Linked DNA regions of Caenorhabditis elegans. The protein of the gene in region 2 interacts with the protein of the main gene of each other region in a pairwise test. Each region holds a gene or a part of one and is shown on either strand. Other genes may lie near its edges.

The links.
Region 1: the proteins of moe-3 (region 2) and hlh-11 interact in a two-hybrid assay, tested with the Caenorhabditis elegans proteins (one large-scale study listed by BioGRID).
Region 3: the proteins of moe-3 (region 2) and ing-3 interact in a two-hybrid assay, tested with the Caenorhabditis elegans proteins (one large-scale study listed by BioGRID).
Region 4: the proteins of moe-3 (region 2) and klf-2 interact in a two-hybrid assay, tested with the Caenorhabditis elegans proteins (one large-scale study listed by BioGRID).

What each region holds. Positions count from the first base shown.
Region 1 is NC_003281.10:9,619,995-9,627,371, forward strand, and holds hlh-11 (Helix-loop-helix protein 11), read left to right. Parts: upstream 1-2,152; 5' UTR 2,153-2,208; intron 2,209-2,273; exon of another isoform or gene 2,274-2,416; intron 2,417-2,485; 5' UTR 2,486-2,503; coding exon 2,504-2,553; intron 2,554-3,506; coding exon 3,507-3,782; intron 3,783-3,830; coding exon of another isoform or gene 3,831-3,835; coding exon 3,836-4,059; intron 4,060-4,276; coding exon 4,277-4,696; intron 4,697-4,945; coding exon 4,946-5,141; intron 5,142-5,330; exon of another isoform or gene 5,331-5,479; intron 5,480-5,789; coding exon 5,790-5,919; 3' UTR 5,920-6,534; downstream 6,535-7,377. Other genes in the region: tbg-1 (Tubulin gamma chain), read right to left, coding at 6,683-6,997. UniProt on the Caenorhabditis elegans protein: Transcriptional regulator. Component of a feedback loop involving atfs-1, atgl-1 and hlh-11.
Region 2 is NC_003280.10:13,159,439-13,167,777, forward strand, and holds moe-3 (CCCH-type zinc finger protein moe-3), read right to left. Parts: upstream 6,296-8,339; 5' UTR 6,218-6,295; coding exon 6,201-6,217; intron 4,784-6,200; coding exon 4,562-4,783; intron 4,020-4,561; coding exon 3,912-4,019; intron 3,587-3,911; coding exon 3,443-3,586; intron 3,175-3,442; coding exon 3,027-3,174; intron 2,745-3,026; coding exon 2,555-2,744; intron 2,485-2,554; coding exon 2,335-2,484; intron 1,357-2,334; coding exon 1,232-1,356; 3' UTR 977-1,231; downstream 1-976. Other genes in the region: F32A11.1 (Mitochondrial import inner membrane translocase subunit Tim21), read left to right, coding at 478-657. UniProt on the Caenorhabditis elegans protein: Zinc-finger protein that may play a role in oocyte maturation and fertility.
Region 3 is NC_003280.10:13,873,868-13,882,449, reverse strand, and holds the start of ing-3 (Inhibitor of growth protein), read right to left. Parts: upstream 6,417-8,582; 5' UTR 6,389-6,416; coding exon 6,361-6,388; intron 6,295-6,360; coding exon 6,223-6,294; intron 6,170-6,222; coding exon 6,066-6,169; intron 4,681-6,065; coding exon 4,156-4,680; intron 3,024-4,155; coding exon 2,409-3,023; intron 315-2,408; coding exon 186-314; 3' UTR 1-185. Other genes in the region: ndub-8 (NADH dehydrogenase [ubiquinone] 1 beta subcomplex subunit 8, mitochondrial), read right to left, coding at 7,232-7,433.
Region 4 is NC_003283.11:20,683,628-20,689,840, reverse strand, and holds klf-2 (Kruppel-like factor 2), read right to left. Parts: upstream 4,159-6,213; 5' UTR 4,143-4,158; intron 4,112-4,142; 5' UTR 4,025-4,111; intron 2,934-4,024; coding exon 2,745-2,933; intron 2,697-2,744; coding exon 2,276-2,696; intron 2,231-2,275; coding exon 2,171-2,230; intron 1,301-2,170; coding exon 1,071-1,300; 3' UTR 1,011-1,070; downstream 1-1,010. Other genes in the region: F53F8.3 (RING-type domain-containing protein), read left to right, coding at 323-806, 860-1,005. UniProt on the Caenorhabditis elegans protein: Probable transcription factor which regulates lipid metabolism.

The DNA.
Region 1 (7,377 bases), on a different chromosome or scaffold from region 2:
TCAGGTGAACCCTCTTTCCATTTGACCTCCAAAAATTGCGGGAGTAGAAAACAGTAAGTCCCCACAATTTTAGAGGGGGTCTACCTCTATGATCTTACTGTACTCGACCATCATATCGTTCTTCCTAGATTTCTGATTTTCTGCCTCAAGTTTGTTATGATTCCATATGTTGTTATGTTTCTTTTTATCTTTTAGCTTTCTTTGTCTTCCCCCCGATAAATTATTTTATCTCTTATCTCACTCACTGTCTGGCTCGCGCCTACCGTATCATCGGAAACGAGCGTTTACGTTTGCCCCTTCGCTAGACAAGGTCTCGAAACGAAACGAGACGCGAACTGCAAACTTTTCTCCGTCTGTTTCTCCGTTGCGTCCAAATCTTCTTAAATCACTCTCTCCCTCTCTCACTCCACTCACAGCTGTTTGTGACCCCAACCAACAAAACTGGGGGCCGCGCCATCAGGTGTTTTCCCCATCCATCCATCTGTCTCTAATTCTCAGGATCCCTTCAGAAAATGTTTCTTGGATCGGTTGATGGGGAAGATCGCAACAAAATCCCTTAACCTTTATTTTGAATGATAACAGATCATTACCGTCCGAATAGTTCTCGATGTCGTTTTGTTCAGTGTCTTTCTCTTTTACTACGCCTTTGAACTGATCTCTTTGCCGATTTTGGTGATGTTTTGTGATCTTATAAGAACTATAGTGAGTATGACTATGAAAAATTGTTCCCAACCTTTAACGCGGTTTCAACTAAATCTTGACCAAGTTTTTCCGAAGTTTTGCCAAAACTATGGACGAACTTTATATGTATGTTATACACAAAAATTTAGGCAGGAAATTGCCTCCAAAAATTGAGAAATCTTCCTCTGAAATCTCCAATATTTTCACGATTAGACTCTATTAACCTATGTTCTATTAAGTATTTCATAAATCTACTACCAAATGTTTTCTAACTTTAGATACTTTGCGTGTTGCTCTATGTGCCCAGCTGTTCTCCCATAAATGCCAAACTTGACCAACTAGATCATCCCGTACACTTGCACACTACAGCTGATCAAACTTTTGTTTCTTTTTTAGTTTTATGATTATTATGTGAGAAGTAACTAACTTTTCGTAATTACCAAGAATTCTTAAACTAACTGGTCAACTGCTTTTTGTTGACTTGTCAATGGGTTCCAGGGAGCCCTCATTGTAAAAAACATATGGTAAGTGCAATTGGCTATCGTCTATAAGCTCAAGGAAGTTGGAACCAATTTTTTGTTGATATTTTTTTCTGTTTTGTCTTCTCCATTCCGTTTGAGAATCAGTTTGTGTGTTCATCGCTCTCTCGTTTCTCCGATAAATCGCTAATCAACATTTTTTCTCGGTTTTTTAAGAAAGTAGAAAGATCAAAACATCAAGAGCTCATATTTCATTTCTTGGGGTGAAATCTTGAAATCTAGCCTTAAATTCTTTTTTTTTTCTTTCTTTTTTTTTTTTTAAGACCGATTTATTCTTGGTTCTTCATATTTTATCAAGAGAGAATCTGAGCAAGTCCGTTTGTAACTTTTGAAAGACGTTTTGTGATTCTGCAAATTTATAGAGAACTGATTGTTATTAAAACATGGACTCTGTCGGCTTCACGAGATAAGCTCATCGTCAGTTAAAAATAATTTCATTACAAGAAACTTTCGGTTTCTAATTCCAATTTTGGCAATGTTCTGATGTTTCGATTACTCCCAAACTCTGATCATTCAAATTAGTATCATGAAACATTTTAAGTAAAAGTTGTTGCATTAAACACCTGAAAATGGATCACCTGTTCTTTCCCTCTCATTTTTTCAATTATAAACCCTTCAGTTTTTCTATTTTCTATACATTTAAAACCTATTTCATCTGCTACACTGAAACTGCCCTCTTCCTCACGCCTTTTTCATTTAATTTACATATACATTGGTACCTACCGTATGAAATAGACGAACTGCCCGATTTTGAATTATAAGTCGGTGTGTTTCGACCCTCGATTGCTTCCTCTTTCCCCTCATGTGTCTGTGTAAAACATGCCATATGACACACTGACAAACTCTTTTTTTTTTCGATCTTTCCCCTTCAAGAATTTTCGTGAAGCATCAGCTGTTGGTTTTTTGTCGCAAATAATTCCAATTTTGTAAAGTTTCAGGTAATCCAGACGGCTCCCATCGTCCCTTCGTAGTCTCCGTAGTACTAACAGTAAGTATTTATTTCTTATTTCAAATAATTCGTGGTATAATCATTGTTATCTTTGCCCCCAAGTGTTGCTTATCACAAAGATTTTCAGCTGGGAAAAGAGCCTATCTTCTTTGATTCTACAAAGAAAATGGCATGTCAGCCAGTCAGCCAACATAGTGGGGGAAAGGTGATAAGAGTTACGGGTTTCGGGAAACTTTTGTCGGAAAAAGAGAGAATAAGGAACAAATAGAATTTCAATTCGAGAACCTCAAAAATCAAAAAAGAAAATTTTTTTCAGGTAGATCAATAGTAGAAAATGGTTCGTTCGGATAGCGCAGAAGAAGATCAAATCATCATTGATGATGGGTAAGGATTTTTGTACTACATTTTTTGCTCATGGTTTTAAGAAGAAACATTCGAAAAGTAATGTATTGACATAAGTCTAAGCCGAGTTTTGCTTATAATCATAATATGGTTGAATTCCCGCCTTCTAGGCGACTAGGCAGGCGGTCTGAAGACGTGCCTGCCTACTATATATATATATATATCCAGGATCAGACTCTCATTTGATGAAAGTATTAAAATCTGAAAATAATTCGAAAATAAACTTTTTTTGCTCCCTCTAAACCTATCAAGTTTCCAAGTGAAGTGTTAAGTCTACAGTAACTTTTCAATAAATAAAATTCAAATAATTTCCCATGGCTTTCAATTCGTTCTCAGTGACACGCAACAAGAACACCTGGCTTTTAGAGAAAAACACAATATAGAGACGCAGATGAACTTTTCCTCAATTCTAAAACTGCATGTGGCAATTTGTACTAATAATTTCTCATAATTTTTGGAACAGAAATATTGAGATGTTAAATTGAAGCTAATTTATCCCATTTTCTTTCTTTTTTTTTGTGGAATCGTGGCATTTATTGAATTGATAGGTTCTAATTGTAGATGAAAAGATCAATATAAAAATCAGAACAACTAAAGCTAGAGTTATTTTAATATTAGTTCAAATGTTACCCATTGTCGGCAAAGTTCAAATTTAAGGTCTAAAATGTGTTTTATCACTTTTGGAATTTTTTTTTAAAATGCATTTATAATAATTTAAAACGACTTTGTGAATTTCCAATTTTTAAAAAATATGTTTTTTCTCTATCCTCAAAGGAGTACTGTACTGTAGTTGTAGAATAGAAAAATATGAAGATATTCACGAAAAAGCTTGCGTCTTGAGAAGGCATTAATTGGAAAGTTGAAGTTAATTGGCCCCAAATTATTTGATAAATTTCGCTTCTTGAACAACCTCATCTACGAACACATTTTTGCAGATTTGATCTAACTGAAGAGGACGAGGAGATGATGAGTTCGGGTACAGGTGCATTGCCCGTGACTATCGCCGACTGGAATTCCGTGACAAATGCACGAATGGCACCACCATCCATCATGTCAGCTGCTTCGGCATTTGATTTGACGGCTTCTGGAATGCAGAATTCGTTGCGTTCTGTCTTGCCTACCTCGACGATTGGGCATGCACCAATGCTCGCCAACCGGTCACTATCCCAACCGGCGCCACTTTCACCAACGTCGCTCGACCCCGACAGAAGGTTAGTTTTATAGCACTGAAAGGTGGTGAGTACTGTAACTTTATATAGTATAGATCCAGAATGCGTCGGCAAATTGCCAATTGCAACGAGCGGCGGCGGATGCAGAGCATCAATGCGGGATTCTTGGCTCTAAGAGCCTTACTTCCCAGAAAAGAGGGAGAAAAGCTGTCGAAGGCGGCTATTCTGCAGCAAACTGCGGATATGGTTCATCAACTTTTGGGACACAAAGGAGAAGATATACCTGACGGTGGAGAACCCAAAAAACTCAAACTTGAAGGTAAGTTTATATCTTATTGATATTTTTGAAAAGTGGAGTAGGATGAATGGAAACTGTGTTTCAACAAAAATCTGGATAATCTGAAATTCTGAAATTCCACAAAATAATTCCAGCCTAGAATGGCCTGAAGAAGTCTAAATCTTACTGAATCGTGCCTACCCTAAATCAGTTCAAACTTGAAATTAATATAAGCTGTTCAAATTAAATTTTGTTTCAGAAGATCACCACGACGCTGACCATCAAGCGCAAATAGCACATCTCCAAACAATATTAGAAACTGAACGAGCCGCCCGTAAGGCTTTGGAGAGTCAAGTAATTCAGCTCCGTGAGCTGCTCCAAATGACGACAACATCATCGCAAGCATCGTCACCAGTGACACCAAGATCTAATGGTTCTGGTGGTTTCACATTGCCATCTTCATATGCTTCATCGGCTCTTCCTACTCCGTTACGAGAATCACCGGAAAGGAAACCATCATTTCAAGATACAACAAGTACTCCGTTGTCTCTTTTGACACTGAACGGTAGTCCAACTTCTTCTGAATCATTGGCGTCTCAACGTATATTCCATCCGCCTCCAACATTGCCAAGTTTAGAGACAACTGTTATCCGTCCTACACCACTACCACCAATATCAGGTAATTTTTGGAAAGATATATTCAAAATTAGTTTCAAAAAGATTGAATGTCCAAACAAAACACTATGAAACGTTTGAGATGTTTCAAAATTTCCAGGCAATATTTTGGTAAATTACCAAATTTTTTTTTTGGAAAATTTGGTCTTTTGGGAAATTTAGAGTATTAAGGCCTAATGCATGGTAGCATTTTTTGAAGCCCTGGAATATTCAAATAAAACTTTTTGACTATAAATATATATAAACATTTAAGTTGAAATATCATCACCATCTCTGTCAACTCCATCACCTTTGACTGCCGCTCCAATAATCTTCTCAACAGCAGTTCCAACTCAATCGAGTATTTTGTTCCAAACAGCGGCGGCAGCGGTCACCTCGGCCATGTCTACCGGTAACTCGACACCCGTCGCATTGCCACATCATCTGCAGGGACATAATTCTGCGTTTGTGTGAGTTCTGTATATTTTATGGGGGAAAAATTATGAATTCAGTTTTCTGTTTTGAGAGAAGAAGGCTGTATGTGGAATGATCTACTTTCAAAATTCAATTTCTGAATTCAAATCTTCGTTATAAATTTAATTTTTAAATTTATTTTATGCTGATTATTAAATTTCAATTAAATCTTTTTTATAATATACTCTATACAGTCAAAAAAAATGTTGTGGTTACTGTAGGTTGCAATATTGCTATTATGAGGTCGTAGAAAAATCCCCCTTGTAAAATCGAGGACCGCCCCCAACAGCTGGGTCTCGTTAGGTATTGGGGGGCCAAACCAGTAATTCAAACTTTTTCTATTAGTTTCGCCAATGTTTGAACATTTTGCGTCTTTCTGGGTACGTATGCCAAATTGATTTTAAAAAAACTTTCCAATAAAAACAACCATTTTTCCAATAAAAACAACGAAAGACGAAAAACGACGAAAAACTCCTGAAAATTGGTACAATTATTTAATGACAAACGTTTGAATTCACGGATTTGCCGCCAAATACCTAACGAGACCCAGCTATGGAGGGCGGAGATTTTCTACGTCTGCATAATAGTTCTCGAGCAAACTTTTCGAATTTTTAAAAAAATTAATATGTTGCCATCAATTCCAGAAGCACACAACCGAGCCTGACCCTGTCTCAATCAATGCAAACAATTGTTGAAGCTATTCGTCATTTGGAGGGAAGTCATTTCATTCCAACATCTCCTCCACCAACCTCACAGACATCGCTCGTCCGTTGAGCCTGACTTTTGACAAATGTAGAGTTACAATTACAAATACAATTATCAAATTTTCCACGTTTCATAATCTCTCTCTCTTTCTCTTTTTCTCTCTTTCTTTCTTCAGGTTGATCCTGTTTTTTGCTCTTCATCTTTTTTCTCTCTCTCACCAGGCACAGTATCTATCATTTTTATCACAAAATTTGATGAATTTTTGTTCTTTTCCCATTTTTCTTCTTGTTTTAGGTATACTACTTGTTGTGTTTCTATGAAATGTTTTTTTCCAAAATTTTTTGTGCCGATTGTGGTCTTCTTGTCATTTTTCTTCTAATCAATCTAGCTTCCTTATTTCCCGCGCTCTCACGGACCTATCCATTGTTTCGTTCTCCCCACCGATAACTTTTTGTTTTTTCATTTTCCTTTTTTTCCAGTCTTGTTCATCTCCAGACACTGCCCCGTTACTTTTACACAAATCGTGTCGATTTCCTCTTTTTTTCATTTTTCACCCGGTGGTTTTGTTGACCGTATGTGCAGCTTGAAACACTTTCATTTTCAGACCTCAATATGTCTCTCTATTGCTATCGCGCAATAATCATAACTAAATAATTTAAATAAACCTCAATAGTACAACCACTGAGACAAGAGTACCAATATTTATGTGAAAATTATGATGATGATGAGGAGCACATGATATAAATAATACAATAAACACAGCATATGATAATCGACAGAGATCCGTTTTAAGAAGTGAATGAGAATCCCGCGAGAATAAATAATAATAAATCTAAAGCCCTCTTGTCAGATAGTCCTTTTGTACGACCGCCTTGTACTCGTCCAGCAAGTCTTGCACAATGTGCATTGCATCGTCCATCATATCCAGCGAGAAATTGTCAATCTTTTCAAACTTGTCGATGAAGGCTCTCTTTGATCGTAGTTTGTCGTATTTGGAGAGAAGCGATTCGAATAACGGAGCCACGCTTGTGCTGTTATTGAGCAAGAGTCCAGATACTTTGTATTGTGGCCGAACATATGGAGAGAGTGGAGCATGCATCATTCGAAGTGGTTTAAGCATGTAGAATGGAGGCCTTCTGATTGCGAACTGAAATTTGATTTTATTGATTTGATGCTTTAAGGTGGATTATAGAAAAATAACGAAAAAAAGTCATTATTAATCACTAATTTTGTCTTTAAAATAGTGATTTTATTGGTGCATTTTTGATTTTCTGACTAATGTGTTATTTGAATTGCCACGCTTTTGTCAAATTTCCAAGTTTCTAAAAATTTTTTACTTCATGTCAAAAATACTTTTTAAAAAAGTTTGCTTCACAATTGCTGATTCGTCAAAATAAGCGCTCATTTTTGCAATGTAATTTGAAGATTTTTTTCGTTTGCAGTATCTCGGTATTTGTGACCGCCTTCGTGTTTTGAGAATAAAATCTACATCTCCAAAATTAGCTTACGAAAATTTTTCGTTTTTCC
Region 2 (8,339 bases):
CGATTTGTTAAGATTTATTGTGTTCTTACCGTTATATTTGAGCTTTTAAATAAAAAAAATGAATATATTTTTTTAACAAAAAAAACTATAAAAAATCAACAAAAACTCAAAAATTGTTTTTTTTTTCAAAATTCTTGTTGATGCGGTTTTTTCATTGTTTTTCAAAAATTATTTTTAATTAAAAAACTCAAATATAACAAGAAAAAACATTAGGAGTTGACAAATCGTGGAAAAAACTATAAAAAGTCGATAAAAATTCTGCAACATTGAAATATTGAAACTACAGTACACTTTGAAGCGGCACACCTTTCCTCCGCGCTTCAAGAAAATATTTCGTGTCGAGACCGGATACCGTAATATTTTGCGCAGAAATAGCAGAATTTATAGCCCTAAATAATACTATTTCTTCAAAACCTTAAATTCGCACAAATTTCTGGATAAATTTTTGAATTCAAAAACAAAACAGTTTTTATTCAGGTTCTGCTCTACAACGTGACAAAAGACGTGATTCTCTACGGAGTGAAGTTGACTCAACAGACCTATTACGTAGTCTTGGCGATTGCTGCTCACATGCAAAATGGCTATCGACGATTCGCGTCAGGAGTGGACCGGCTCACGGACAAGTACAACAAGGTCCGCCAACGGATCGGAAAGTGAGCAGCTGTGCGGAGCATCTCGATCGAAAATACTCACTTATTCCTTCAAATTTTTTTTTTGCAAAAAGTCCCCGTTCAATTGTACATTTGCCTGTTTCAGAATTGTTCACACGACTTTCTAGATGCCTTTTCTTTTTGATTTTCGTAGTCAGTATGCATCAATTTCGTTTTTCCCGTCTCTTTTTTGCTCCATATTCCGGTTTTATTCCGTTTCTCCCTCCCAAAAAAAAAGAAAAGAACCAACCTCATCCAAAATTTTTAGAGAAAGAAGCTTAGGATTTTGCGCTTTTTGCAACGTGTATTATCCCTTGTGTGAAATAAAATTAAAACTTTATTTAGGGGGAGCAATAAAAATAATTAATATTAGGAGATAAAAAATTTTCAAAAAAAGAAGCGAAAAAAATATTAGTGAGATGTGTATCAGGTGGTCCCATTTTTATTATAAATTTAAAAATCTTTAAAAAAAAGGATTTAGGACCACTTGCTACTCAAATATTATTAGTAACTAATCGTTGAACAATACTCACAGACAAGGAAGACAAACAAATTTCAAATTAAAAAAAAACTGAAAAATGTCACCACAATTCAAGATGTTTAGCCATATCCTCTGCAAGATGGTCGAATCCTGGAATTGATGACATATTATCATCGTCTTGTTGGAAATTGGAAGGCACTGGAGGAAAGGCTGCTCTCCGTTTTGCTGAAAATTCGGAATTTTTTAATTTTAAATTGAAATTTGTGTTTTTTCCACGAAAAAAAAAACCATTATTGATCTTTCAAATTTGCGAGTGAAATATGACGCTTTGTGTCGGTGTTTGCACAGTATTCGGATTCTGTGGTTCACTGCACCTAGTACCTCGTATTTGACGCGCAAGTTTGAGAAATTCAAGCTCACAAGTTTTTTCAAGAAAAATTACAAATTTCACACAAAAATGGGGGAATAATTTATTACGGGAACACAGAATTCGGAGAATGCGTATTGCACAACATATTTGACGCGCAAAATATCTCGCAGCGAAAACTACAGTAATCCTTTAAATGACTACTGTAGCGCTCGATTTTCGAAATGAATTTCTTTTCAAAAATCTAGAGCCCTGCACAGCCTCCTGGAAATGACCCAACAAGGGGGCTTGCGCGTTTCTCGTGAGCGTGGGAAAATTTTACCGTTGAAAAGTGATTTCCTTCAGTTTTCACGGGTTTAAAATCGATTTCAAACTTTTTAATTACGTATCAATTGTAAAGCTAATTAAGGGCAAGGTGGAAAAAAAAAGATTTTTGATTTTGGTTCAAAAATAAAAGCGCTGATATAAAAAGAAAAAACCGCTAAAAATTGAGTTTTTCTCATATTTCGTATATTTTTCATCATTTTTCTAGTGGAATTTGATGTTCATTTGAAAAGTAATCTTCCACCAAAGCTTATGTTATGAAAAATATGAAGAAAAACAGTAAATTGAACGTTTTCGGAAATTTCTCAATTTTGCACGCGATGCACGAGAAGTGCGCCAACAAACCAAAATTTCCACTGGAGGAGACTGTGCCCTGTAAATCGACACAAGCGCTGCAGTAGTCATTTAGAGAATTACTGTAGTTTTCGCTACGAGATACTTTGCGCGTCAAATATGTTGCGCAATACGCATTCTCAGAATTTTGTGTTCCCGTAATATCCCATAAATCTAACCTGTCACAAAATGTGGTTGAATTCCCGTGGAGCCGTTGGGAAATGGCGTCTCAAATGGGCTCATCAAATTATTATTATTGATTGAAGACATTTCGGGTGGCAAGAAAAAGGACGAAGATTCCAACGGCCAGCTAGGGTGAGGACGCGTGGCTGAAAAAAAAATTTCAAGGAATTTATTGAAACTTGTTTTTTTTCTAAAAAATTATTTTAAAAAACTCACTTTCACAATTCATCTGAGCCATTGGAGAACGCATATGACTGGAGTCAGAACTCGATTTCATCGGTGAAGATTGCATTTCTAGACCGCCCATCGGTGGCGGCTGTTGATTATACGAGTTTCTCGTATTTCCTGTCATAATCTGTGATTCCACGTGATCCCGTAAATCTGCGAGTGCGTGGCGCTGCGAGACCTGAAAATTGGAGTTTTTGAATAATTACAGGAATTTGCGATTTTTGCGGCATAGGTACGGTACTTGGTCTCGACGCGAAATATTTTTGTTGGTGAAGCAAATATACAATAAGGTGTGCGCCTTTAAAGAATAGTGTAGTTTCAAAATCTAGTAAAAATTGTCGTGTCGAGACCGGGTACCGCAATTTTGGGCAAAAAATCCAAAATTTCTAGTCTAGATAATACATTTTAGTTTCAAAAGATAGCCGACTTGAATTTTCTAGGCCACCTCTCCATCACTAACCTCATAAAGCTTATCAGCTCTGATATATGCATTTGGCTGATTATCGGGATGAATAAAAAGACACCGTTTGCCATAGGGGCATAGTCCAGTGGTAGTGTACTTGTCACAAAGTTTCGTCTTGTACTTGTTGTTTTGTCGTGATTCCAGTCTGAAAATATTCAGGGTTTTTGCGCGTCAAATTTCAGGCAAAGCGGCAAATTGCAGGAGTTGAAATTTCCGGCAAATCGGTAAACTGCCGGAATTGAAATTTCCGGCAAATCGGCAAATTGCCGGAATAGAAATTCCGGCAAATCGATAAAATTCCGGAATTGAATTTTTCCGAAAATCGGCAAATTGCCGGAATTGAAATTTCCGGCAAATCGGCAAATTGTCCACCCCTGCGCCAAAAGTTATGCGCAAAAATTTTGAAAACTCACTTCGCCGGGCGCAGCTCTTCCTCTCCATGTGCAAATCGGCAATTTTCAGCAAAAGTGCATGTTTTCGACTCGAGCCATGCCTGACAAATGACCGTCTTGTAAGATTCGGGCTTTTGCATCCGCCGTTCGCCGCGAGGGGGGCGTCTGGAAAATGTAATTATTAGGAGAAACTCTAAAAATGGTTTTTTTTTGTGGAAATTTTCCACTACTTTGACACCTTACATCTTAGTTATTTTAAGCGCTATGAAAGCATTTTCAACTACAAAAATATTTATCACATTATCAGCTACATTAGTGCAGTTAAAAACTTTTTGATATCACAAAAAATAGTTTAGATACATGCGTTGAAACTTGGTACGTTATCTTTGAATTTTTTCAATGGTTTTTGATTTGGTTTTTTCACATTTTTTCCAAATCAAAAAGATTTTGAATTTCTTTTGGTTTAACAATTTGAATAATTAAAACTCACTGTGGAAACCCGTGATGTGGTGATATCGAATTCGCTACAAATGGCTGATCGACTGGATTTGAGGAGTATCTGAGTGCTCGCATCTGGTTCGTCTGGATTTGCTTGTTTCTGAAAAACAGTGTTTGGTGTTTAGGTTTCAAACATAGCTTCTTGCCCAAATTTGGCACAAAAAAGTTAACTTGGGCAACAGTTGGGCAAGACATTTAGGCCCAAAGTTTAACCGAAATTTGGCCCAATTCTGCTTTCGGCAATTTCGGCAACTGCCAAATTTGCCGATTGCAGAAAACTCCCGAAACCGGCAATCGTCAGAATTGCCGGTTTTCGGAAATCAGAACTGCCGGACCTTAAACATGCACTTTAATGAACTTTTTTTTTTTCAAGCTCAAAGTAATGTAATTTTTGAACCGGCTATTGTCAAAATTGCCAATTGCCGAAAATATCCAAAACCTGCAGTTTCCGATTGCCGAGAATTTCTAAAACTGGCAAATGCAGAAATTGCCAATATTGCCGATAATTTCTAAAACCGGCAATTGCACAGAATTGCCAAATGCCGAAAATTTCCAAAACCGGCAATTGCCGAAATTCCAAGTTAATTTTTTCGGGCAAAACTTGCGCAAGAAACTGGAGCCAAGCAACAAAATAAAACTAACTCTGCAATTTCCTTTCTCAATTGCTCATTCACCGCAATCAGGTTAGCAGTTTCAAAAAGCAACGAGTTCAACTGAGTAGTAGGACTCGGTGGCCCACTCTGCGATGATGATCCTTGACTATGACTAGGTGATGAAGCATGAACTCCCGATGAGAATACACCACTGTCAGCTGAACCAGTTGACATGGACGATGGTGGACGCTTGTCAGACTTTTCGAGATCTCTGGAAAATAAATAAGTTGTGGGTATGAAATAATCCAAAAAAGTTGGGATGGGGAGGGGAGGAAGTATCATTATTGCCAGTTTTTGGCGTTGTCACTGTTCTGTCCACTATATCTCGGCTGATAAAACCGTTCGAGTGATAACGAACAGGATATTTATTTATCTCTTCTGTTCACAAATAGTGCACTTAATCTCACTAGTTAGACTTATCAAGCTTTTTCAAAATTACAGCTTTAGCTGTAAAAAATGTGACACGTAAAATATAGTGCATCAATAATTTCAATTAAACCTTTTAACAAATTGCACAAAAACTGATTTAATATCAATTATGAAAATTTTATTTAAAATTTTGCTTTGACTTTTAAAATTAAAAATTTCTAAAAATTGCACATTTTCAAATTGCTCCAGCTTACACTTTTGAAGGGAATTTTTTGTGGTAATAAAATTATTAATTAGATATACATATTCTTGACAAGAATATATAGCCATGTCACAATGGAACACCAACTGAATAAGTTATGAACTTTTTTAAAACTTTTTTTTAATAAATGGAGGTTTCAACTAAACTTTTAAGGAAGCTTTAATATATATTTTAAAGTGTTTTCAGCAAGGATAATATTCAGAACAAATATTTTTGAAAGCTTTACGCGTTTGGAATTAAACAAAAAAAAACAAAGTCAAATTTTCTGTGTAGGCACAAAATCATACACTTTTTAATCAAGTTTTTAAGCATTTTTTTAGAACTTCAGATTTTCTGTCCCTATGCACTATGCATATAGGCATGTAGGCACAAAAAACCTACGTGCCTACTTCCCTACCTATTAACTAGACAAATTCTTCATCTATTTCTTATGTTTTCATATTTCTTTAATAATTAGTCGATATATATGTACAGAGGCGGCCAATTGCCGTTCGGCAATTTTTTTGTCGGCACATTTTTTTTGACGGAGATTTTCAATTCCGGTAATTTGCCGGTTTGTCGCTTGCCGGATATCAGATTTGCCGAAAATGTTTAAAGGGATTTTTTTATAAGACGAAAACACTTAAAACCTTGATTTTTTGATGCGTGCAATTTTGTCTATTAAAATTGAAATTCCGAAATTTCCAACAAAAAAACCGTGCAAAACCACAATTTGCCGGAAATTTTCGACAATTGCCGATTTGCCGGAATTTTTCATTTCCGGCAGAAATGTTTATTATTTCCGCGATTTTCTTTAGATATTTTCATAGAATTTGCTTACTTTTTAAAATAGTCGTAGTATTTTGCCGATTAAAATTTAAATTCTAAAATTTCCAAAAAGCTTTCAAAGCCGTTTTTCCGGCAAATTCGGCAAATTCAGCAATTCGCCGGTTTGCCGATTTGCCGGAAATTTGTATTTTAGCCTCGAAAATTCTAAAAGTATCGTCAAAAATCTCACCCTTTCACCTTGCTCATCGTGCGCCTTCCCTGACTTGATTAAATATGTAAAAAATCTGAAAAACGGGATGAATGTGTCGCGGTCAGCCAATACCCCTGAAAACTGTGAAATTCGTGAAAAACACGGCGGGCACAAAAATTTCAGGGTCAGTTGCGGATAAACGAGAATGAGAGAACAGTGAAAATGAGAGAAGATTAAACATAACTATGACACACAAAATATTTGATATTTGAAGAGGTTATGTACTTAGAGGGGAAGTTGAAATGAACTGAAATTTGAAAGTAAAAAACACGGTCTGAAAATAAGGCGAGAGATCGAGAGACGCAGAGAAGCGAAGAACCGGTCTCGAGAAATGACAATTCATGTGATGGTGATAAGAACAAAAAAGAATTGTGAGCAGTCTATTACACAAGATACGAGGGGTTCGACATGGACTTAACAGCTGATTTTTATTCATGTGTCCGCTAGTTCGGAGGGGGCATGTGATTGCGATCAGTTGATTGGAGATCATTGGATCAGGGGGTATATCAGTTAAAAGTAATAGAACAGGGAGAAACATGATTTTAAAATCCAGTATTTTCAAAATTCTGCGATGCTCCCTACAAAAACCCCAGTTGAAAGAACTTTAAGATGTTTAGGAGCCCTATAAAATATAAAATTACCCAGTTGCGGAGTTTTCTGCTTTTTGACACAAAAATAAATGCGATAGAATCAGGGCTGGGCGGCAATTGCGGTTCGGCAAATTGATTTGTCGACAAATTCGACAAATCGGCAAATTGCCGGTTTGCCGATTTACCGGAAATTTTCATTTTCGGCAAATTGCCGATTTGCCGTTTGCCGGATATCAGATTTGCCGGAAATGTCTAGAGGGATTATTTACAGGACGTAAACACTTAAAACTGTGCCATTTTGAATTTTTCCCGTTTTTTCTAGTTATTTTAACAGAATTTGCTTACTTATTGAAATAAATGTAGGAATATTCATAGGATGTGCTTAATTCGGCTGTCTGAAATTGAAGTTCTGAAATTTCCAAAAAAAAAAGGGCAAAAAATTTTTGGCAAATTCTGCAAATCGTCAATTTGCCGGTTTGCCGGAAATTTCCAATTTCGGCAATTTGCCGGTTTGCCGATTTGCCGGATCGTTTGCTGCCCACCCCTGGTACGGATTACGAAACAACTTGAAATTTGCAGTTACCGCACCTACAAGTGATTCGAAATTGTCTTGCCTGTTTTTGACACTATTTAAAACTCAGAAGCTTCAATTTTTTGGAAAATTTTGCAAACACATAAAATATCGAATAATTGTTCAAAATACATATCAGAATACTTGCGGGTACTGTGGCTGTGGTCGTGTAAAATATGCATTGTCTCTACAAAAATTTTTTGATGTTTTTGTGTCCAAAAATTCTAAAAAATGAGCTAGCGTGGCATTTTCTCCCAATATTTGTCATTAAAATTGAAAAAAAAATACATATAACTATATTTGCTTTGTCAGACATTAACTTGTATTTTAAATATTTAAAACAACTGAATCCAGATTGAAAACATGCACCAAAATTGTCGGTAAGTTGAAAATTGTCGGAATAAAATTCGACGAACATTTTTGAGAATTTTCAGTTTCTCCAAATCAAGTGAAAACTATATTTTTGCCTACCTCAAACCTACGCCTTATAAGACACAAGTTTTGAAGGTTTTGATCCAAACTAAAAACTATGGATCAGCTGTTCCTGAGCTCAAATTTGAAGCTAGAGCCTAAAAAGACACAATTGATTTGCAATGTAGGAACGCTTGGCACAAATTTAAATATTAGATGAAGCTCAGAAAAATGTGATTCTAAATTGTTAAGGGAAAATGAAGAAGCCAAACTGGAAGATTAGGCAATCGAAGGGGAAATGATTGAGAGAAAACTTGGAAGGGCGGGTAAGAACGGGCAGTTTGGAACTGCTTTTCTATTCCGATTGCGTAACAAATGGAACAGAAAAAGACAGAGAAAGAAAGAGAGAGAGGTAACATGTTTGCTGAGTGACCGAAAACGAAAGGATTCAGAGATGAAGACGCTAGCGAAAGGTGTGAGTGTAACATGCGTTTCCATTTCTTTCAGAAATCCACTGTAATGAGTGAAAAGATGGTGATGCGCAAA
Region 3 (8,582 bases), 710 kb from region 2:
TTGGAATTTTTACAATTGTTTTTTTGGGGTATTTAAAAATATTTTTAAAAAAAATGTGAGAGAGCATCAGAGTCTTTGGGGAAAATTTCAGATAAAAATGTTTTAAAAAAATTGGGAAAATTTCAGGCCAATCATTATTATTATTATTATTAAATTATCGTTGATGGGGAGTCATAATATTTATATTAGACTTCTCCCTCTTCGGACAGCTTGAGAGCAATTCCCATCGTAACTTCACACCGCGGACAGTACCATTTTCCAGTCGGAGGCTCGACCATTCCAATGCACGGGTAATGGAACCAGCGGAGGGTGCACTGCAAATGAAATGGGATTAATTAGAAATTTAAAAAATTCTAGCAACTTTACTAATTTCCAAATTTTTGTAGCTATTTTTTTAATCTAGGTTGAAACTTACTGATATTTTTGTGGTTTTTATTACTTTTTTTATTTTCCAACAAAAAAAAACAAACAAACAAATCTACCATTTTCCCATAATTTTTTCCAAAATTTCAACAAAAAATTCTAATCTAAATTTAAAAAACATATAGCTACAAAAGTGCTATAAAAAATTTACATTTCAACCAAAAATCTTATAAACTGAATTTTCATCGAGACCATCACCAAAAAACTAATTTTTGACCAAATTGAGTGCGAAAAATCGAATTTCCATCAAGAATATTATAAAACATTTTGTTTTCTTCGAAAAAATTAGAATTTTCCAGGCAAATTCTATTTTTTGTAGTTTTTGATGAAAATTCAACTTTTTTTAAATATATTTGTGTGGCGGAAATTTACTTTTTTGCATTACTTTTCGAAGAAAACAAAATGTTTTATAATATTTTTGATGGAAATTCGATTTTTCGCACTCAATTTGGTCAAAAATTAGTTTTTTGGTGGTGATGGTCTCGATGAAAATTCAGTTTATCAGATTTTTGGTAGAAATGTTTTTTAAATTTAGATATTAGAATTTTTTGTTGAAATTTTCAGACTTTCTGTATTTTGTTTTAAAGGTTTTTGGTGTAAATTTCAGATGGATGGATGTAATTTGTAATATTTGTGGAAAAAAACTGAGTTTTCACCGAAAACAGTGCGAAAAATGAAATTTCCACATTGTAATTATTTTAAACAATTTTTTAAAAATCATGTTTTCGTGTTTTATGTTTTTTTGTGTTTGTTTCCATTTAATTTTTCTAATTTTTGAAATACTTACAGTGGAAATTCAATTTAATTTTCGAAATCTAAATTTTTCGTATTATTTCAGTTGCTTTTGTAATTCAAGAGCATGTTTTTGTGGAAAATCAATTTTTAAAAATATTTTTCTGATGAAATTTTAATTTTTCGGGATTTTTTTAAAATGAAAATTCTATTTTTTTTGTAAAATTTTTTGATAATAATACCAACAAAAAATCGAATTTTCACCAAAAATATAGCAAAGTTTTGCAATTTTTAGGTGGAAATTAATTTTTTCGCTCAACTATTTCGAATTTTTGTAACACATTTTTTGGTAAAACCGTTGAAAACGCAGAAATTTTGTTGATTTTAGCCTAAAAATAATATAAATTGCAACTTTTTCCAATTTTTTGGTGAAAATTCAATTTTTCTGAATGTTCGTGAAATTTTTCGATAAAAATGTAAAAAAAAGCAAAATTTTGCATTTTCTGGTAGAAATTATTATATATTTTTCGCAATTTTTTGGTGAAAACTTCATTTTTGTGATTTTTTCCAAGGAAACACTCTATTTAACAATTTTTAAGCATTTTGTTGTGGTAGAAATTCAAATTAAAAAAAAAATAATTTTCGGTTAAAAATTAACTTTTTTCGTACTATTTTTGAAACAAAAATTTAATTTTCGGTGCATTATTTCTGATTTCACTTTTTAAACTCAATTTTTGGTGGAAATTTGAATTTTTTGTACAATTTTCCATGAAAAAATATGAATTTTCATCAAAAATTACGAATTATTGATTTTGTGCTGGAAATTTGAATTTTTCGCTCAATTTTCGATTTTTTGAATGGAAATTTTTTTTTTTTTTTTTAATAAGATCTTTGATAATCTTTGACTAACCAAAAAAGTGAATTTTCACCGCAAATATAGCAACATGATTTTGCAATTTTCAGGTAGAAATTATATATTTTTCGCACTGTTTTCTCGTGTGAAAATCCAAATTTTTTGATTTTTTGAATGGATGGAAACTCAATTTTTCGCACTATTCGAAGAAAAAAAAACAGTAATTTTCTGCATTATTTCTGATGAAAATTCACATTTTTTAATCAATTTTTGGTAATAAAAAACAACAAAAAAAAATCTAATTTTTTTTTCGCACTATTTCTGCTGGGAATTTGAATTTTTCGCTCAATTTTCGGAGAAAAATTCAATTTTTCCCTTCATTAAAAAAGCCCACACTAACATGACGATTATCACACTGAACCATATCTCCATAGCTCTTCTCATTACAAAAACACCAATGCATCTCATCCTCCTCATCCTCCGATCCCGGAGCCATCATCGGATGGCTCCGCTTAATCCGATAACTCGGTCCTTCCTCATCATCATCCTCGGCGGCTCCTTCAATCTCCGGAAGTGGTGATTGTGGTGAAGAGCTCGTCGGAGCGTGAGCGTGCTGAGCCGCCGCCGCCAGATTCGCCGCACTCATTCTCTCCTGTAGTGCTATAATTGAATTTCCATGATTCCGCTGCCGCTGTAGAGTCTCCTTAAACATCTCCTGAACTCTACTGGTCAGCTTCCGAGTTCTACCATGACGGCTCTCAGACACCACAAACGCCGAATTCTGGAGAACTGGAGTCGTCGGCGAAACGACGATATGCGGTCCTGAGGAGAACGTCGGTGTCATCAGTAGGCTTGTCGTCGGCGTCGGTGATGATTCGTCGATTCCGGCGTTTGACCAACTACGTTCGGAGGGATTCGGTGAGAAGCGGGATGTCGATTCACCACGATTCATCATTGATGAAAGAGCACTTGGAATGGAGACTGTGCCGCGGAGAGCATTTGTGTTTGAGCGGCGCTGAAATTTGGAGAAATTAGAGAATTTTTAGTTTTTTCACTCCAAAAACGACTGATTTTCGTGAAAATAATGGCGGTTAGGCTGAAAAATCAGCCTATTTAACGGTTCGGACGATTTGGAACGTATAGACCCAAATTTTGTGCTCAAATGAACGAATTTCATACTGAAATTGCTCAAAAATTCTTCAAAAATGTTTTATGGCGCTTCAAAATTTCGAAAACTTACACTGATTTGAGTTAAAATCTCGAATTTTGGTCATTTTTCCGTGTCTCGGCTGTCCGAAGTTGGCTTTTTTTGGAAATATCATTCTTGATTGCATATATTGGTTTTAATATCTCATTTAATTTCGTTTATTAAGGTCTGTTTAAAGCCTATAGGCGACCAATTTTAATGATTTTTGGTTACCTATTGGCTTTAAATTTACCATAATCAATGAAATTAAATGAGATAAACTACCAAAATATGCAATGAAGGATGATAATTCCAAAAAAAACCAACTTCCTACAGCTGTGACACGGAAAAATGACCAAAATTCGAGATTTTAGCTAAAATCAGTGTCATTTTCGAAATTTTGAACCGCCATAAATACATTTTCGAGCAGTTTCATTACGAAATTCGTTCATTTGAGCACAAAATTTGGGTCAATAAACCGTTAGTCCTCCTGTAAATAGGCTGATTTTCCAGAAAATCATGGCGGTTTGGCTTAAAAATTAGTCAGTAAAGAGCCAAATTTCGTTTAATTTTGAAAATTCGAAACAAAAAGTTAATTTTTAGCTGAAAACGGTCCAAAATGACCCAAAAACGGCCAATTTTCGTAAATTTTATTAAAAAATGTGGCGGTTAGGCTAAAAAAATAGTTGAAAAGAGACGAATTACGCTAAAACTCGAAATTTCGTCAAATTTTTCTTGTAACAACACCCAAAAAACGGGAAAATTTTATCAATTTTGTGAGGTTTTTGTACGATCAAATTTTGCGGATTTTAGGCTGAAATTCAAAAATGTTTGAAAAATATTATTTGAAAATTCAAAATTTAGCTAAAATTCGAAATTTCGCCAGTTCTTTGAACAGGAGGCCGTGGTAGGTGGGCTCCAAATTTTGCGAATTTTCTCGAATTTTCAGCTAGCTCCTCACCCTAGCCGTCGGTGTTGGTGGCACTGGCGTCAGACAATCATCACTGGCCACCACCATCGCCGCCGACGACAGCAACAGCTGATCCTTTGCGATCTTTGGCGGGCGCCCACGTGGCGCTGGTGATGGTATAGCCGATGATAGTGCCGATTGTGCCGACTCATCGGAAAGATCCATTCGAAGACGAACACCTTCCTGAAGGATCCGCTGAATTTTGTCCTTTGATTCTTTCGATAAAAGTGGTCCCGAAGCGACTGTCGATGCTCTCGACGACGATCCTCCACCACCACCACCACCGCCCACGCGATGACGACGTTTTCGTTCTTTTCTCGCTGTGAGCAGAGATTCGACGTGTTGGGTATATCGTTTTTCGATCATTTCGGTCACTCCTGAATTGTCGGCCTCCATTTCACACTGGAACGTGGTTTTCTCCTTTTCCAAGTGAACTTTGTACTTTTTGAGGAGTTCTTGCATTTTTTCGGCGATTAGATATTTGCGTTGAGCTAGCACGCGGATTGTGGAGAATTCCTGAAGAAAATTGGTTGCAATTTTTTGGGTTTTTTCAATTTTTTTTTTGTGAAAAAGCAAATTTTTGAACTTTTTTTTTCATTTTTTAAGAGAAATTTTGCCATTTTTCAGCTATTTTTGTGATAAAAACTTTTTTTTGAGCTTATTCAACGTTTTAACGAGAAATTTTGAAAAAATGGTTGAATTCTAAAATTTTTATTGAAAAAAAAAAGCAAATTTTTGAGCTTTTTTTTACTTTTTAAAGAGAAATTCTGAAAAATTGGTTGATTTTATGATTTTTCGGGGGTTTCGACTTTTTTTTTGTTGTGAAAACAGCTAATTTTTTTTTATAATTTCGGCATTTCCTTCACTTTCAACGCGAGAAAATCTGGAAAATTGGCATTTTGGGATTTTTAAGCTTTTTTTTTTTTTAAAAGCTAATTTTTCAGCTTTTTTTTTAAAGAGAAATTAGAAAAATTGGCTGATTTTTTGGGATTATAAGGTAGTTTTGGGGGAGAAAGCTTTTAAAATTAATAGAAAATGCAAATTTAGGGTTTTTTTCCAAGAATTTCGGCAAAATTGGTTGTATTTTGAGATTTTGAAAGTTTTTTTTAGAAAACCACGAAAAAAAAATTAGAAAATGCAAATGTAAATGTTTTTTCCCAAAAATTAGTTGAATTTTCAATTTTTTTTCGTGAAAAAAGCTAAATTTTCAGCTTTTTTTTCACTTTTTAACAAGAAATTCCGAAAAATTGTCTGAATTTTGCGATTTTTTGTCCTGTTTTTTAAAAAAGATTTTCAGTGAAAAAAGGAATTTTTTCGACCGTTTTTTTCCGAGAAATTCTGAAAAATTAGCGGAATTTTGGGATTTTTTCGCGGAAAAATGCTCATTTTTTGAAAATTTCGGTATTTCCTTTATTTTTAGCGGAAAATTTTGAAAAATTGGATGCATTTTGAGATTTATAAGCGTTTTGGGCTAATTTTTGCGTTTTTAAGCTATTTTTGTGAAGAAAAAGCTTCAAAAAACGATCAAAAACGACAAAATTCTAATTTTAGGTTTTTTTCCGAAAAGGTTACAACTTGGTCGGATCTTGAGCAACTTTTTGAGTTTTTCGACCTCATTTTAGTGTTTTTAGACGTCATTCACTTTGAGTATTTTTGAGCACTTTTGGTGTTTTGTGGGAAAAAAAAGCTTAAAAAGTGAAAAAATGACATCAGGCAAAGTACAAAAAAATCCCATTTTTTCTCATTTTTCTTCACGAAAAAGCTAGAAAAACGGGTTTTATAGCGAAATTTCTCATTTTTCACGAATTTTAGCCGTTTTTGTGGCAAAAATCAACTTTTTCCTGCGTTTTCGTGTCAATTTGCTGCCAAATTCGAGTTCCAGGAATTTTCATGAAATTCACCTCCTGCAAAACCTTGCAGCGCTCCTTTCTCTGCTCCTCGGGCATATTTACGCCGGTTCTCTCGAAAAAATCGTTGATCGCCTCTCGATTACGGTTTAGACGGGCTAAAAATTCGAAAAAATGAAGGGAAAAATTCAGAAAAATTTCGAAATTTTACATTCAACTTCATTGTCGATTCGCCGAATTTCATCGCTTCTCTCCTTCAGCTCGGCAGGCAGCTCATCGAGCACTGGAAAACGTTGAAAATTTGGGTGTTTTTATAGGGGAAAAGTTTGCAACAAAAAAAACCACTTACTTTCTAAAAAATCATCGAGGAAGAGCATTTTGTGCGGGGGCGTCCAGCGCCGAGTTCTGAATTTTTTTTCCAAATAATTAATTAATTAAAAGTGGAGTAGCGTAGCGCCAGTGGGAAAATTGCTTTAAAACACGCCAAATTCAAAAAAAAATTTCTAAATTTTATATGATTTTTTGAAAATTGAAAAAATCTCAGTTTTTACCCCTAATTCCTATTTGAATTTCCGCCAATTGAACTCGTTCGTTGGAGCGCCGCGCTTGCACGTTTCTAAATTTATTTATTTTTTGTTATTTTCCACCGATTTTTAATGTTTTCGGTGTATTTTTGCTTGAATTTTAGAGAAAAAGTCGAAATAAATGCAAATTTTCGAATAAAAACCATGCGTACAGACCGAAATCAGTGAAATTAATTAATTTTGTCATTTTTACGCCTGTAAGCGTGCTTTTTAATCGAAATTTAGCATTTATTTTGACTTTTTCTCTAAAATTCATGTAAAAATACACCGAAAACTAAAAAAAATTGAAAATCGGTGGAAAATAACAAAAAATAAAATAAATAAACTTAAAAACGTGCAAGCGCGCTCCATCGAACAAATCCAATTAGCGGTAATTCAAATAGGAATTAGGGGTGAAAACTGAGACTTTTTCAATTTTCAAAAAATCATATAAAATTTAGGAATTTTTTTTTCAATTAGGCGCAATTTTAAGCAACAAAAAAAACGAATTAATAGGTATAAAAGCGTTAAAAACGCTGAAAAAAGGGCAAAAAAAAGGCAAAAAAAAAAATGATAAAATTCGAATATTTTATAGTACAAAAAAGGAGAAAACGGAGAAAACTACCAAAAAAAAAACAACCGAAACTAAGGAATTTTCTATTCCAAATCAAACGAATAGTTGACAATTGGGTATTTGCGTGGATCGTCGAACGGGTAGGCACGGTAGAAATCGTATGAATACTGCTTCGGCATTGCCGGATTCTTCCAACGGAGCGCGTTCGGATGTTCGTTGGTAAAGTACCAGGCGAGGAGAGCCATCGGTACGAGCACGCGGAGGCACATAACGATCGAGTTCCAGCTGAAAATTGGATAAATTAATTAGAAAAAAAAAACAAAAAAAAACAGCCTAAAAATCCGAAAATTAAAAAAAAATCGCAAAATTTAGAAAATCCACATTTTTTTCACCGAAAATACTAAAAATCGCTGCAAAAATTCAAGAAAATCCGAGAGATACGAAATCGATAAAATCGGTAGATTTTTTCGCTAAAAATCGGTGAAAACCCGTAATAAGAGGCAAGAAAATCAGTAAATAATTTGAAAAATGTCAAAAAAATTTCCAGGAAATCGAACGAAAATTCTCAATTTAGTGAAAAAATCTCAGAAAATCAACTGAAAAATCCTTTAAAAAATTTAAAAAACCTGTGGAAAATCCGACGAGAAATTCAAAAAAAATCAATGAAATTTCAGGAAAATCAAAAAAAATTCGTCATTTTTTTAGCCAAAATACGAGAAATTCCTCTTTTTTTCAAAAAATTATGAAAAAAACTGCCTAAAAATACGAAAATCCACTTTTTTAAGGGAAAAAATTCGGAGTTTTATCAGAAAATCGGGGAAAATTATGAAAAACTTAAGTTTTAGGGCGAAATTACCCGAAAAATCTGCGAATTTTCGGATTTTTATCAGAAAATTGGACTAAAATTCGCATTTTTCAGCGAAAAATTCGCTTTTTTATTAGAAAATCGGAGAAAATAATGAAAAAAAAACTGGCTGAAAATCAGAAATTCCGAATTTTTACCTAAAAATAGTGAAAAATTATGGAAAAAACTGCCCAAAAACCCATAAAATACACATTTTTCAGCGAAATTACCCAAAATCTGTGCAAAAAATCAATTCAAAATTCACGGACTACGAGACCCATTTTTTTTTCAAAAACAGGAACAAGATATGTCAAATATCCAGAGCCAGTGAGCATTTTTCGTGAAAATTGGAAAAAAAAACCCTGAAAATTTCAATAATTCCGGTTTTTAGTCAGAAAATCGTGAAAAATTTTGAAAAACTGCCTAAAAATCAGAAAATTCAACAAAATTTCGCATTTTTTAAGCGAACAATTATGAAAAAACTGCCTAAAAATCCAAAAACTCAATAAAATTACCCATTTTTTAAGCGAAAAATACCGATTTTCATTGAAAAAAAATTGTGAAAAATTATGAAAAAATGCCTGAAAATC
Region 4 (6,213 bases), on a different chromosome or scaffold from region 2:
CCCCATTTTCTACTCAACAAGACTTGCCTCCCGGGAAGAAACGCTCGTCGCATAGGGCATAGGGCGAATCGATAATTATTCCTCCCAGTTCGGCGCGCTCTGCGTTTCCGCAAAGGTTTTCTTTTCCCATTTTTTCTTATTTAATCATTATTTAATTATTCAAGAGATGTTATGATCACTTTGATAAGATAATACTTGTATTTCATCCAGCTCTACTATGTTTCTCAATTTCTGTTCATATGCAACCTTTAATTTATTCAAATATACTCTCCCACTCTCTCATTTACTCATTTAACTAATCATACTTTTTTTCAGAATTTCCATGTTGCGACGTAGCTCGAGGCACGCGGACCAAAGAAAGAATGGTGCACAGTTGAGAGCAGAGGAAGAAGCCAACAAGGTCAAATTGAGATTAACCGCGGAGAATGAAAAGTTGAAGAGTGAAGTGGAAAAGTTGAAGAAAGATCATGAAGAACTGTCAAGGGTTACCCTGAAAGTCAATACAGAATTCACTATTCAAGAATCACACATGGCACGATTACTGCGAGAAAACATGAGTTTGAAGGAGCAACTTAACGACTTTTCCTTCAAATTGCGATTCAGAGACGATATGTCTCGCGTCGAAGAACAAGTGAAAAAAGAGCAGGGAGTCACAGACGGGTATCGAAGGAGAGTGAACCAATTGACAGAATTTCATGTGAAGAGTCAGGAAGAGCAACGAGGAGAACCGTTCCCATGGAGAACCTGCGAAATTTGTGCTTGCAAGTTTGAGGGAGAAACTATGGATCAGACTCCGCGAGTTTTGGGTTAGTTTTAAATTATTTTTTTCTAAATTCAGTAGAAAACTGAAAATTTTCAGGCTGTGGTCACACGATGTGCATGGGATGTGTTCAAAAAATTGTCGGGCAAGGGTACATCAAATGCCCTTTCTGCCGGATTGTCACAAAAATTGGAACTACGCCACTCAATAATTTGCCAAAGAACTACATTGTTCTTAATATGTGAAAGGATTCAATCTACTGTTTATTCATAATTAAACGTATCATCTCACTCATAATGAAACGAAATCTTCAAATAAAAGTCATGAAATCCTTGAAATCATCCATTCCATCGTCTTGTTCATCCGTTTCATGCCGCTTCATATGTAACTGCAAATGATCACTTCTCGAAAATTTCCTGGAGCATTCTTTGCATGCAAACGGTTTGGCTCCAGTGTGCTTACGGTAATGGCGGGTTAGCTCGTCGGATCGTGCAAATCGCCAAGAGCATCCAGGCCATTCACATGGATACGGCTTTTCACCTAAATGAGAAGATTATTATCGAATAGGTAATACTTTGGCAAGCTGCTGACTAGGGAATGTTCAAAACTCCAAGTGGCCATTTGGTGTGAAACTAACATCATTTGAAAGCTGAGATTTTCAGCTTGAAAAATCTTAATTTCTGCTGCGGATATCAAAAGTTGTTGAAAATTTACGACCGGATCTGTATAAAACTGACTTTGGCTATCCGTTTCTCAAACCTCAAAATTAAAAAAAAGTGCTCAACTAACATAAAAGTTGAAAACTTTACATCTTACCGTTTTAGAAATAAAAAGCAAGCTAATTTCCCAAGAAGCAGTTGCAAATTTATAAATTTTTAGATTTTCGCAGCAAAAAAACATTTTAAAAAGCTTAGCTGACGATCTCAGTGTCAGATCAAATCGCGACTCTGAGTTTCGTCAATCACCAGATAAACCAAAATATAATAGATATTTCAGGCGTTCTTCCTGCAAGCAACTTTCGCATTTTCCACACTTTCCGAAGCATTAGGAATTGGGTAAGTTATTATTTTCCAATTTTCCCGCAACCCTCCTAATTCTTATATCCATAGGCCCACGCACTTAATTGACAGTTTATTGATACTTTACAACTCCTTATTCGATACTTCTAAAAGGGGGATGCCGCGAAGTACCGGACAAGGCCAAATATTGATATGGACTAACATAACATAGCAACAGTAGTTGATTCCTGTGCATTCGTTACAAAAAGTATCTAGTGATTGATGAGAAGCGTGTTTGTCAACGGAAGTATCCCGTTACACAGAACAATGTGCCGACGAGTGCGCGCTGTTCACGACATTGAAGAGGAGGATATGATTAATTATGTATAATGAGGTTCTGTAAGCTACTCACCACTATGAACACGCTCATGAGCTGTTAGATGGGAACTTTTTGTGTAGACCTTGCCGCAACCTGAAAATGAAATTCAAGCTTAAGCTAAACACGCTTGCAACTTACCTTGATAAAAACACTTATGAACTCTTAATCGATCCAAAGTAGCCTTATCCCTCCGTTTACTCGGCACCTTTTTTGGTTTTTCAGTGCTCTGCGGATGATATACTCTTCCACGATCTTTTAAAGGAATCCTGGGATCTTCCTCGTCTTTACCCGACAAATCGCTTGAAAATGAGTAACTGGATACAGACGCTGCAGGCGATGGAACGAATAACTTGGCTTCAAACGGATATGGTGTCGAGCTTCCCGAGTTTTGATGTTCCATTGGAGTCATCGAAGGTTCCATGTGATTGAGGTGAGTTTCGGAATTATTCTGTTGTGGAAAGTCATGGGAAAAATTGAAAGAACTGTGCGGGCCTTGTGGAATATTTTCTTCGAAAGTTTGTTGGACATGGTTATGATGATTGTAGTGCTGCTCGATGACCTCAAAAAATAGAAAATTGAATTTAAAAACTTCAATTAAATACAAAACCTGATTATTAACAGGTCCCGTATGAAAATGATAGTTGTGAACATTGATGACTGGAGCCGCAGCTGCTCCATTATAATGATGATGAGATTGTTGGTGATAATGCTGCTGATGATGTTGGTGATGGGCATTTTGGTATTGAGACTGATGATAGTAACCATTTGAACTAGACGGGACTATGCTAGAGTACATCTGGAAGGAGTTGTAGATGAATAACGATAAATTGAAAATCACCAAAAAAGAGTGAGACTCTGAAACGAATTTTCAAAAATTACATTGTAACAGAAGGTCAAATAAAAATTAGCATAGGCAAATACTAATTCATTTTGTGGTTAAAAAAAGATGTAATGCCTGAACCTAATTGTATGCATAGTTCTAAATTTGTAGTGAAAATCTTAACCATAAGCCAAAGTAAGGCAACTTCTACTAGTAGATAGTACAAATATTCCAACACTACAACAACACCATGTAATACCGTTGTGCATACACACACGCACAAATGTGACGTCTTCATTCTCGTTCAATACATTTCAAGTCATAAAAGTCTTGCGTTCTTCTTTGCCTACTGCTTACTTTTCGATATTTGTTGTGAATTTTCAAAGCGAAAGTTGTAGTTCTTGTGAATATGTTTTTACGTCATATCACAAGTGTATATACAAATAGGGGGAATTAGTAGCAAAATTTTTGGATCTTTTTGATATTTAGAGAATTCACACTCAAACCGAAATATTCAAGAGATAAGAAAGTTAAAGGTGGAGTAGCGCCTGTGAGAATTTTGTCTCACTTATATTAAACCAAAGCGACAAAATATCATGATGCAACACTCCTAAAAATTTTAGGTTTCTCATAATTCCAGGTCAAAGTTTTGGCACATTGCCAAAATATTGAAAAATATGAGCCTTTGAGGAAATTCAATGCAGTGTCGCATGTTCCGACCCCTATAATTTTTTAAAACAAATAATTAAAACAAAATGAAAATATAAAAAATGCAAGAAATTTTTTTCCGACTTCTAAAATTATGAGTGGCAAAGAATGAGCACTTGTCAGTTTTTGACAGTAAATAGAAAAATTTCAAAATTTTTTTGAAAGTTTTATTTTGATATTCGGTCATTTTTGACACCATAGGAGTTGTTTTTAGCATTTTCCCCAATGGCGCTGCTCCATTTTTAAGAACTTTCAAGTTCGAAATTCTGGGAACTAACTACTAACTATAAGGCTCTAACTCTCAATGCACTGAACACGTAGGAACTAACTCACTAAAAACAAAATACCTATGTACTCACCACAAAGAACAAAACAATGTTAATGCTAGATTACAATACGTGCCTTCATTAGTAGAGCATCTATCGTGAAACTAAAGAAAAATGACTAATGTTTCCACAAAAATAAACATCCTAAGCGAATATACACACCTCTTCTGGTCTACAAAAAAGTGAGCTCCCCAGGCTCCAAAAAAGGGGTGTGGTGACACCAGACCGGTCACTCCTATGATAACAAACAGAAAACTTGAGCAAACTTTTCTTTCCCCCCAAGAATAGAAAATACAGAAAACTTGAGCATGTGTAGATGGTGGTCATGATATGTTTGATCTAAAGATTACGACACTTTTGGGCATTTCGAAAAAAAATAAACATGTCAAGAAGACGATGGTCAAGCTAGAAGAAAATTATCCAAGAAGGCGCACATATGCCCTGCAAGTGCCATTTTATGATAGCATGTCAAAACTGATAGGCATGGGCAAACAGTAACCAAAAAACGGGGAGGTTTGTTGTTTCTCTGAGAAAGGGGTGGCAGAAAGGTGTGTGCGCGGAAAATGTGTGGAGGGGAGATGGGTGTCATTAATAGAAGAAGGAAGGGAGTTTTTTGGGAAAAGGACATGTGATAAATAATTTTGTTTTCAAAGTTCAGAAATTTTATAGAAAGAACACAAGGCTTTGTAGTGCTCCAAAGTTATGCCGGTTTTGATCAATAGTACAGTACATCACGGGTGGGTGGCAAACGATTTTTCCGGCAAATGGGCAAATTGCCGGCAAATCAGAAATTCTATTTCTATGAAAATTCTATGAAAATTTCAAAAAAAAAAACGGAAAAAAATTCAAAAAGGCACAGTTTTAAGTGTTTCCGTCTTATAAAAAAAATCCCTCTAAACATTTTTGGCAAATCTGATATCCATCAAATTGGCAAACCGGCAACTTGCCGAAAATGAAAATTCCGACAAATAGGCAAACCGGCATTTTGCCTATTTGCCGGATTTGCGGACAGTCAAGTCACAACCAAGATTTGGTTTTAAATCTGAAAATGACGTGCGGGACTAAAAACAGAAGGGAAATGTAGACGCTAGATTGAAAAAAAAAACTATACATATCCACAAACAGTATCACTTACAGTACTCTAAAATGATACCCCAATGCTGTGTTTATCCAAACGTCCCCCCCCTCCCACCTCCAATTTTAGTACCCTCTTCCCTACCGCCTCGCCTTGCTACAGTCGGGAAGTTATGATTTTACGGGTGCGAACAATCCAGTAAGTGGGTGCGGAAGAGGAGGAAGCAGTGATTACTGTTAAAAGTGCCGACTAGGTATGTAAACGTACTTGAGAATATTGTTTGGACGGGCGGTCTCCTTTTTTTCAACTGCGGCGGGACCATATCAGTTTTATGATTGATTAATGTTTGATATATTGAGATAATGGAAAGGTGTGTTCGACTGGTAAAACTCGCAGTATGGTTTTAACTGAGGCAACTCCAGCAACCTAATTCTTTGTAAAAATTGTAACCGTCAGGATTTTGAGTTTTGACAAAAAAAACTAATAAAAATATTAGAAGATCTCGAAGAGAATTCAGATGTGAGTAAACAAGTATGTACATATGTTCTGAAATATATTTATATATACACATATATATTTACATAGACATACAAATTTAGTGGCAATGTATCTTTTTGTCTGACACTCTACATTTTTGCGTGTTTAAAAGTGCAAGATGAGTCGTAAACAATTTTCATTCGATTTTTGGAATCTGGTTTTTAAAATTGAACAGCAAGTAATAGATCGTAAAAGCAACACAAACCAATAAGGACGTTGCAAATTGACCGGAGATTTCTGAAATTTGTTTTTTTTAAATTTAAATTGTTGATGTACTTACTTGCAATAATATGTCACCAGGACCATAATCAAATTTCCAGTAGTCCCAATTACAAAAACTGTACAATAAATAACGAAAAGGATAATTAGAAGAGGTTCCATTTTTTGAGACAACGGAAGTGAGAAAATACAATAACTACAATCTATTATATAGGTATTTTTTATATCCTCTATAATTTGTATTATGAAAATAGGTGAATTCTAAGAATCCCTTAAAAAATATATATAATAACTTTAGTATAATAGTCGTTAAAAATATTTCTAGTTTTCGCAGATAAGTACATAAAAAACAAGACTATCTAAGAATAATCAAAAATCTTTTCCAGAATTA